2 linked regions of the Saccharomyces cerevisiae S288C genome follow. The protein of the gene in region 1 purifies or fractionates together with the protein of each later gene. This does not show direct contact. Each region holds a gene or a part of one and is shown on either strand. Other genes may lie near its edges. The genes, in order: MCM7 and ERG26.

What was found.
Region 2: the proteins of MCM7 (region 1) and ERG26 purify together in Saccharomyces cerevisiae (affinity purification with mass spectrometry, with the first as the bait; 2 studies listed by BioGRID). This does not show direct contact.

What each region holds. Positions count from the first base shown.
Region 1 is NC_001134.8:624,173-629,135, forward strand, and holds MCM7 (DNA replication licensing factor MCM7), read left to right. Parts: upstream 1-1,599; coding exon 1,600-4,137; downstream 4,138-4,963. Other genes in the region: DER1 (derlin), read left to right, coding at 1-39; MIN7 (Min7p), read right to left, coding at 321-524. UniProt on the Saccharomyces cerevisiae protein: Acts as a component of the MCM2-7 complex (MCM complex) which is the putative replicative helicase essential for 'once per cell cycle' DNA replication initiation and elongation in eukaryotic cells.
Region 2 is NC_001139.9:494,680-498,412, reverse strand, and holds ERG26 (sterol-4-alpha-carboxylate 3-dehydrogenase (decarboxylating)), read left to right. Parts: upstream 1-1,910; coding exon 1,911-2,960; downstream 2,961-3,733. Other genes in the region: EFM5 (protein-lysine N-methyltransferase), read left to right, coding at 379-413, 476-954, 1,048-1,280; ERP6 (Erp6p), read right to left, coding at 3,246-3,733. UniProt on the Saccharomyces cerevisiae protein: Sterol-4-alpha-carboxylate 3-dehydrogenase; part of the third module of ergosterol biosynthesis pathway that includes the late steps of the pathway.

The sequences.
Region 1 (4,963 bases):
TCTCCGTACGACTGGTTCCGCAACACTGAAACACCCTAAAGGAAAGGCCGTTTTTATTTACCAAAAACCAATAACAAAAGTGAACGCTTGATAAACAAACATACTTAGCATAAATAACTACATATAAAATAGGCCAAGGATAAATGAAACGTTGACTAGAATGAATGAAAGATGTGAAAACAGTACAGTTAAAACTGCAATCCCACAAACTAAAAATAATATGAAGAACCTGTCTCAAATGTATAAATGCAGAATAAATAAGTAGCCGAAAAAGTCTCGGTAATTTTCTCCCTAATGATAACCCATATTTTCGAAAGACTCTAAAACCTGGTGTATGATCGTTGAGAACAAAATTCGTCCTTGTAGTAGTGTGTGTCTTTAGAAGCCATTCGGGCCGGTAGAAGGAAAGGTGTTGTTAGTCCCAGAGTGATGTAAGCAACATAAAACAACGTCGTCAGCTTTTTACTGGGAGCACTTGCCTTGTATGATTTAGAAACTTGTGAAAATGATTTCATGGCCAGCATTGTTAGTCCTCGATCTTTTGTGATATTTCCTATATATTACAAAAAAATTCTTGGTTTTCGCCTTGTCACAGGGAATAAATGTGGAATATAAAAGAGAGGAGAGGAGAGGAAAGAAGAAAAAAAACTTGGTGTCCGTTTGCAGATGGCCTATTATATACCCTGCTTATATAACTCTGAGAATTAGGAATATTTTGCTGTTGCTATGGTAATTAACATATTTCCAACAATAATGACCTTCTCGAGCTATTGTCTTCCTTGCAGTGGCGAAGAAACCACCGGAGAGTTGCAACGAACTGCCTTTCTTAGGAAGTGCGCGGGCTCTCTATTATGATAGGCCGATACGGTACAAAAGCTTAAAGTTGCCTTTGTATTACCTTTTTTAATCGCAGCAAACAATGCGAAGCACAGGTGTTCACTTTCCTTAGCTTCCCCTTTTCCGTGCTTTTGTTTATACTTCGTACAAAAATGAGGGGAAGGTACCAGGCAGGATACCTCACTGATTACGACGACAAGGAAAAGAGTAAAAATAATTTACTGTAAAACTTCCAAATTTGTCTGAGAGCAACAGAATAGAAGCACAAAGAAATGTACCCTACGAGAGACAGAGAGGGTAAAAGAGTAAGTAAATTCTAAAGTGGTGTGAATGTCATAACTTAAACTATTACCCACGGGATACCTGCTAGGTCAACGTAGCCGCTACTCGAATATAATAAGCGCTTCTTGTATATTTTCTCAATAACAGGTCGAGGCCCCTTCTACCCTTGAATGCTACTTATTACTCACTCATAATACATTGTATAAGCCTTCGCGTTTTTCACGGCCTCGAAAAAATTTTTCTTAACTAATTTACCCAGAAAGGAAATTTCCTTATAAGGAAAATAAATGCAATTCATTAAGTCGGTTTGCTTCTTTTTTCACGAAAGTGAGATACAAGCAAAGGACCAGAGCGAGATGTACTACAGTAGCAGGCTACATACACGTCTTTACCAATAACTTACATTTAGAAAGGCAATATAATCACTACCTAGATTAGCTTGAATCTTGCAGGAAGAACTCAATACAGATAGACCAGATTATGAGTGCGGCACTTCCATCAATTCAGCTTCCTGTCGACTATAATAATCTTTTTAATGAAATCACCGATTTTTTGGTGACTTTCAAGCAGGATACGTTGTCTTCTGATGCAACACGAAATGAGAACGAAGATGAAAATTTGGATGCTGAGAATATCGAACAACATCTATTGGAAAAGGGGCCCAAGTACATGGCGATGCTACAGAAAGTGGCTAATAGGGAACTGAATTCCGTGATTATTGATTTAGATGACATTCTACAGTATCAAAACGAAAAGTTTCTCCAGGGCACACAGGCAGACGACCTTGTGTCTGCCATTCAACAAAACGCTAATCACTTCACTGAATTATTTTGCCGTGCCATTGACAACAACATGCCGCTACCAACAAAAGAAATTGACTACAAGGACGACGTTCTTGATGTTATTTTAAACCAAAGGAGACTGAGGAATGAGAGAATGCTCTCGGACAGGACCAATGAGATCCGAAGCGAAAACCTCATGGATACCACGATGGATCCACCCTCTTCCATGAATGATGCGTTAAGAGAAGTTGTCGAGGATGAAACTGAGTTATTTCCTCCTAATTTAACTAGACGCTATTTCCTTTATTTTAAGCCTCTATCGCAAAATTGTGCTCGTCGTTACAGGAAGAAAGCAATTAGTTCTAAACCATTATCTGTTAGGCAGATTAAAGGTGACTTCCTAGGCCAATTGATTACCGTCAGAGGTATTATCACCAGAGTTTCTGATGTCAAACCAGCTGTGGAAGTTATCGCATATACCTGCGATCAATGTGGGTACGAAGTTTTCCAAGAGGTCAACTCTCGTACTTTTACTCCGTTGTCAGAATGTACTTCCGAAGAATGTTCCCAAAATCAAACAAAGGGTCAATTGTTTATGAGTACACGAGCTTCCAAATTTAGTGCCTTTCAGGAATGTAAAATTCAGGAGTTATCACAACAAGTGCCAGTGGGTCATATTCCTAGGTCGCTAAATATCCACGTTAACGGGACGCTGGTAAGATCTTTATCGCCTGGTGATATCGTCGATGTAACTGGTATATTCTTGCCAGCGCCCTACACCGGTTTCAAAGCTTTGAAAGCTGGCTTACTGACAGAAACTTATTTAGAGGCACAGTTTGTCCGTCAACACAAGAAGAAATTTGCGTCTTTCAGTCTGACTTCTGATGTAGAAGAGAGAGTTATGGAATTAATCACCTCTGGTGATGTTTATAATAGGCTGGCAAAATCTATTGCACCGGAAATCTACGGTAACTTGGACGTAAAGAAAGCGTTGCTGCTATTACTTGTCGGAGGTGTTGATAAAAGGGTAGGTGACGGTATGAAAATCAGAGGTGATATCAATGTTTGTCTGATGGGTGATCCCGGTGTTGCCAAATCTCAACTGCTGAAGGCCATTTGCAAAATATCACCTCGAGGAGTGTATACCACTGGTAAGGGTTCCTCAGGCGTTGGTCTGACCGCTGCCGTCATGAAAGATCCTGTCACGGATGAAATGATTCTAGAAGGTGGTGCCTTAGTACTCGCTGATAACGGTATTTGTTGTATCGATGAATTTGATAAGATGGATGAAAGTGACAGAACGGCAATCCATGAAGTTATGGAACAACAAACAATTTCGATATCCAAGGCGGGTATCAATACAACTTTGAACGCCAGAACCTCAATCTTAGCGGCAGCAAATCCGTTGTATGGTAGATATAATCCTAGATTATCACCTCTGGACAATATAAATCTACCAGCTGCTTTACTATCCAGATTTGATATTCTCTTCTTAATGTTAGATATACCAAGTAGAGATGACGACGAAAAATTAGCCGAGCACGTTACATATGTGCATATGCATAATAAACAACCGGATTTGGACTTCACTCCAGTAGAACCCTCTAAAATGAGAGAGTACATTGCCTATGCTAAGACAAAGAGGCCAGTGATGAGTGAAGCTGTAAACGATTATGTGGTGCAAGCTTACATCAGATTAAGACAAGACTCCAAGAGAGAAATGGATTCCAAATTTTCCTTTGGTCAAGCCACTCCGAGAACTTTACTAGGTATTATAAGATTATCTCAAGCGCTAGCAAAGTTAAGGTTGGCTGATATGGTGGATATAGATGATGTGGAGGAAGCCTTGAGGTTGGTCCGAGTCTCCAAGGAATCATTGTATCAAGAAACCAACAAATCTAAAGAAGATGAAAGCCCCACAACGAAAATCTTTACGATCATCAAGAAAATGTTACAAGAAACTGGTAAAAACACGCTATCATATGAAAATATTGTGAAAACTGTAAGACTAAGAGGGTTTACCATGCTACAATTAAGCAACTGTATCCAAGAATATTCTTACTTAAACGTCTGGCATTTAATTAATGAGGGTAACACTTTGAAATTCGTGGATGACGGTACCATGGACACAGACCAGGAAGACTCACTAGTGAGCACGCCTAAACTCGCACCACAAACGACCGCTTCCGCTAATGTGAGCGCCCAAGATTCTGATATCGATCTACAAGACGCTTGAAAGTTCTAAAAAAAAAAGCAACAGGGCCTTCATTCTTTATTCTTTTTCCCCCTTTTTTTCATTTCCATATAGCTGCACATTCAAATTTACCTTCTGTAACTTACTTCCAAGGCCCAGTTTTCAAGATATGTATTCTGTATTATTATAATTTTACTAATATTATTCATCGCTTTTGCCAGCCACAGACCCCACACATTTCGGACTTAACATTATGACTGCGCATGTCCGTGCACCGCGGCCCAATTCTTGTTTTTTTTTTTTTGCGGAGAAAGGAAAATTATCTTCAAGCGGAATAGGGCCAGCTAGTATTGCTCAGATGTGCCTGTGGAGAGCCGTGCTACAGGGTACCGTCAGCCCCTGAGTATACCAGAGAGTACACCGTGCGGAGTTCTTCCAGAAAATGAAAAGATTGTTCTCAGAATAATTCGTAGCGCTTGATAATAATCCGAATTTGAGATACCTGCCGGCACCCATTCTGTTATCGCCAAGAGGACTTTTAGGGGACCCGCAGACAGTAAAATTTTTTTCATTCATTAACATGTGAAGGCAACATTCATCGATCTCCATCCCTACTGTCAAAAATATAAGTATATATATATATATATTTATATAGTCTATATATATATAGTCCCACTCTCAAACTAATATAACCTTTACAAACCTGTCCGCTCAGTACGGTAGTCCTATTTTATTCCGTTTACTAGATTATATTTGAAGATATTTTTTTATTCTTGAAAATCCCGGACGATAGTATTTTTAGCTGAAGAATATTTGCGGGGAGGAACTATATAGACACTCGAAGCAAGAGGGGAAAAGGAGAAAGAAA
Region 2 (3,733 bases), on another chromosome or scaffold:
TTATAATATTTGGTGTACAACATGGGACCTTCAGAGGTACTTTCGGAAATCACGCAAATATTATGCACTAGTAACCCTCAATCTCTAAATAACTTATATTGTCATCTGTAAGGCAGCAAAATCCAAGATGGGCAATGTATATAGGTATATAGTTTAGTATTGTCATCTCATAGAATATCAACTGCATAATATACATGTATATATAATTTCCCATTCATTTAGAGGCTTCTTTTTTCGTCTGTATCGCTGAACCTTATGCCGGTTAAATCTAACAAAATTTTTTTGAACTGGAGGAACTAAAAAAAAAAATATTAATCTTGACTAATATACTAATCAGTCACTTTACATCTTAATGAAACCGAAAGAATCACTGATAAAATGTCCGACTCCGACTCCGACTCCGATTATGAATTGTAAGTACAGGATATTTTCAACACAGTAACGTAGAATTACTAACTAACACGAAACTTAATAGGACACTTTCTGCTAATGCCCTCGCTGCCCTTGAAGAATTCAAAAGAGAGGAACAACAACATCAAGAAGCCTTTCAAAAGCTTTACGACGAAACGGATGAAGACTTCCAAAAGAAAAAAAAAGAAGAAGGGATGAAGCTTTTCAAGGAAGATTGGCAGCTTTCCCAGTTTTGGTACAGCGATGACACAGCCGCAATTTTAGCAGATGCCATATTGGAAGGTGCGGACGAAAACACTGTAATTGCAATAGTTAGTGCGCCATCCGTCTATGCTGCCATTCAAAAGAAACCTACTAATGAAATTCCAACCGAACATATCTACTTGTTCGAATTTGATAAGAGATTCGAGTTGTTAGCTGGAAGAGATCATTTCTTTTTTTATGATTACAATAAACCACTGGACTTCAGTGATGAAATTAAAGGAAAAGTTGATAGATTGTTAATTGACCCACCTTTTTTAAATGAAGATTGTCAAACAAAGTGTATGTATATCATAAACATATCCCTACTCATTTTTTAATCTTTTTTCCAGTATCTTTTCATCTTACTAACTGTTATTCATTGATATAAAATAGCCTCTATCACTGCAAAGTGTTTATTAGCGCCAAATGACAACTCTAAAACTAAGAAAGGAGTTTTTAAGCACCGCCTCATAAGTTGTACTGGTGAAAGAATGTCTGAAGTCATATCCAAAGTTTATTCTGACACAAGAATAACAACTTTTCTTCCTGAACATTCTAATGGTTTGAGTAACGAATTTAGGTGCTACGCAAATTTTGAATGTAGTTCATGGAAATTTGCTTCTTGAGCTTTTTAAGAGCTTCGATAAATTTGAAAATTAATTGTACTACATAAAAAATATGTAAACATCAATATATATAATATAATCACATTTCAAATATATCACGTGTTATATTTACTATATAAAAATTCAATAAATAAAAAGTTAGAAGATAAAAATTATATTATACATATTTTTATTTTTATTATAATTTTTGTTTTTGCCTTCCGAAAAGAAAATAGTTTTTTGTATTACGGAAATTACAGAAAAATGTTTAATTTTGATTTCATATTTTTTCTTTCTTTGAAAGAATATTGACGACAAAGTATTGGATAATTATAATGCAAGGAAAGGATATTTGTAGATCTTCGGTTCAATGAAAGTTAATGCGGTATGAATATTGCTTTCTCCAGGACCTTTTTTTTTTTTTAGAGGCTATTTTATTGTCGGTGTTTGTGGATTTTATATTTCTCGGTCCGATAGTCCCTATAGATCGTTTATTGTTCTCTCGAGAAATGGTATCGTTTAAAAATCTCATATAAGCCTGCAAGGAAAAGATTATGCTGCAGCTATAAAATAGAATAGACAACAATATAGATTGTCAATTTTGTCCAATTTTATTTGCAACTCTACCTGGAAGGGCAAACAAAAATAAATATGTCAAAGATAGATTCAGTTTTAATTATCGGTGGTTCTGGTTTTCTTGGATTGCACTTAATTCAGCAATTTTTTGATATTAATCCTAAGCCAGACATCCACATTTTTGATGTTAGAGATCTCCCTGAAAAACTTTCAAAACAGTTTACTTTTAATGTAGACGACATAAAATTTCATAAGGGTGATTTAACATCACCTGATGATATGGAAAACGCAATTAACGAAAGTAAAGCAAATGTTGTTGTTCATTGTGCTTCTCCAATGCATGGTCAAAATCCAGATATTTATGACATAGTGAATGTTAAGGGAACCCGTAACGTGATAGATATGTGCAAGAAATGTGGCGTTAATATACTTGTATATACTTCCTCTGCTGGTGTTATTTTTAATGGGCAAGATGTGCACAATGCAGACGAAACCTGGCCAATCCCAGAAGTTCCTATGGATGCGTACAATGAGACTAAAGCTATCGCCGAAGATATGGTCTTGAAGGCGAATGATCCAAGCAGTGATTTCTATACTGTTGCTCTTCGTCCAGCTGGTATTTTTGGCCCAGGTGATAGGCAATTAGTACCTGGTCTAAGACAGGTTGCGAAATTGGGGCAGTCGAAGTTCCAAATTGGTGATAATAACAATCTATTTGATTGGACTTATGCTGGAAATGTTGCTGACGCGCATGTGTTAGCTGCACAGAAACTTCTCGATCCAAAAACAAGAACTGCTGTCTCGGGTGAAACTTTTTTCATTACCAATGATACCCCCACCTATTTTTGGGCCTTGGCCCGTACTGTGTGGAAGGCAGATGGTCATATTGATAAACATGTTATTGTTTTGAAAAGGCCAGTTGCAATTTGTGCAGGTTATCTTTCAGAATGGGTATCCAAGATGCTGGGTAAAGAGCCAGGTTTGACTCCATTCAGAGTCAAGATTGTGTGTGCATACCGTTATCACAACATTGCTAAGGCCAAAAAGTTGCTAGGCTACACACCAAGAGTTGGTATTGAAGAAGGAATTAACAAAACGTTGGCCTGGATGGACGAAGGTTTGTAATGGCAATCGTTAGGAGCTTTTTGATCCGATTATCGAAAGATAGTATGTTGAAATAGCATATCTGATACGCACCGTATATATTTATTCTGTCTTTATAGATGAATAATAAGAATTGAAACACCTAAAACATCTTGATGACTAGGTTAGTATATATATGTATACACTCATTTAATGACTACACTATGAAGCGTCGGGGTAATGCATGTAAATAAATAGAAATAAATCATTGAAACAACGAAATTCTCATGTATGCCTGCTAAGGATTCAATTTTTTGATATGTACGGTCATAATACTTTCTGCTTAACAAAAAACGAGCGTAAACTTTTCATTTGCCATACACAAATTATAATGAGAAGAGTAACTTGAGTTACCGTCCACCACATTGCGCGAGAATTCACAGACTCTGATATGTCTCTAAAGGATTCTTCACGTTCTCTCATCAGTTGTTGCTCTCTCCTGATATCCACGATCTTAGAATTCAATATACTGACTTTTCCGTGCAAACTTTCCAAGGTTTCTTTTCTTTGCATGTCCAACATTGCTTCAAAACCGACTTCAAATTCGATTTCTAACTTTGTTTTGGTTTTCCCTACCCAGTTATTTACCCTAGACTGTAAACAGATCTTATATTCTCCAGATTCCAAAGCTAGAAAGCTGAAGTCACCGGAAGGAGAGCCCTGTTGGTGGACTACCCTATGATTATTATCAAAGACTTCTTCCACATCTATGACAATGCCATAGTCATTATAACTGGGAAGCGCATAATCTGCCA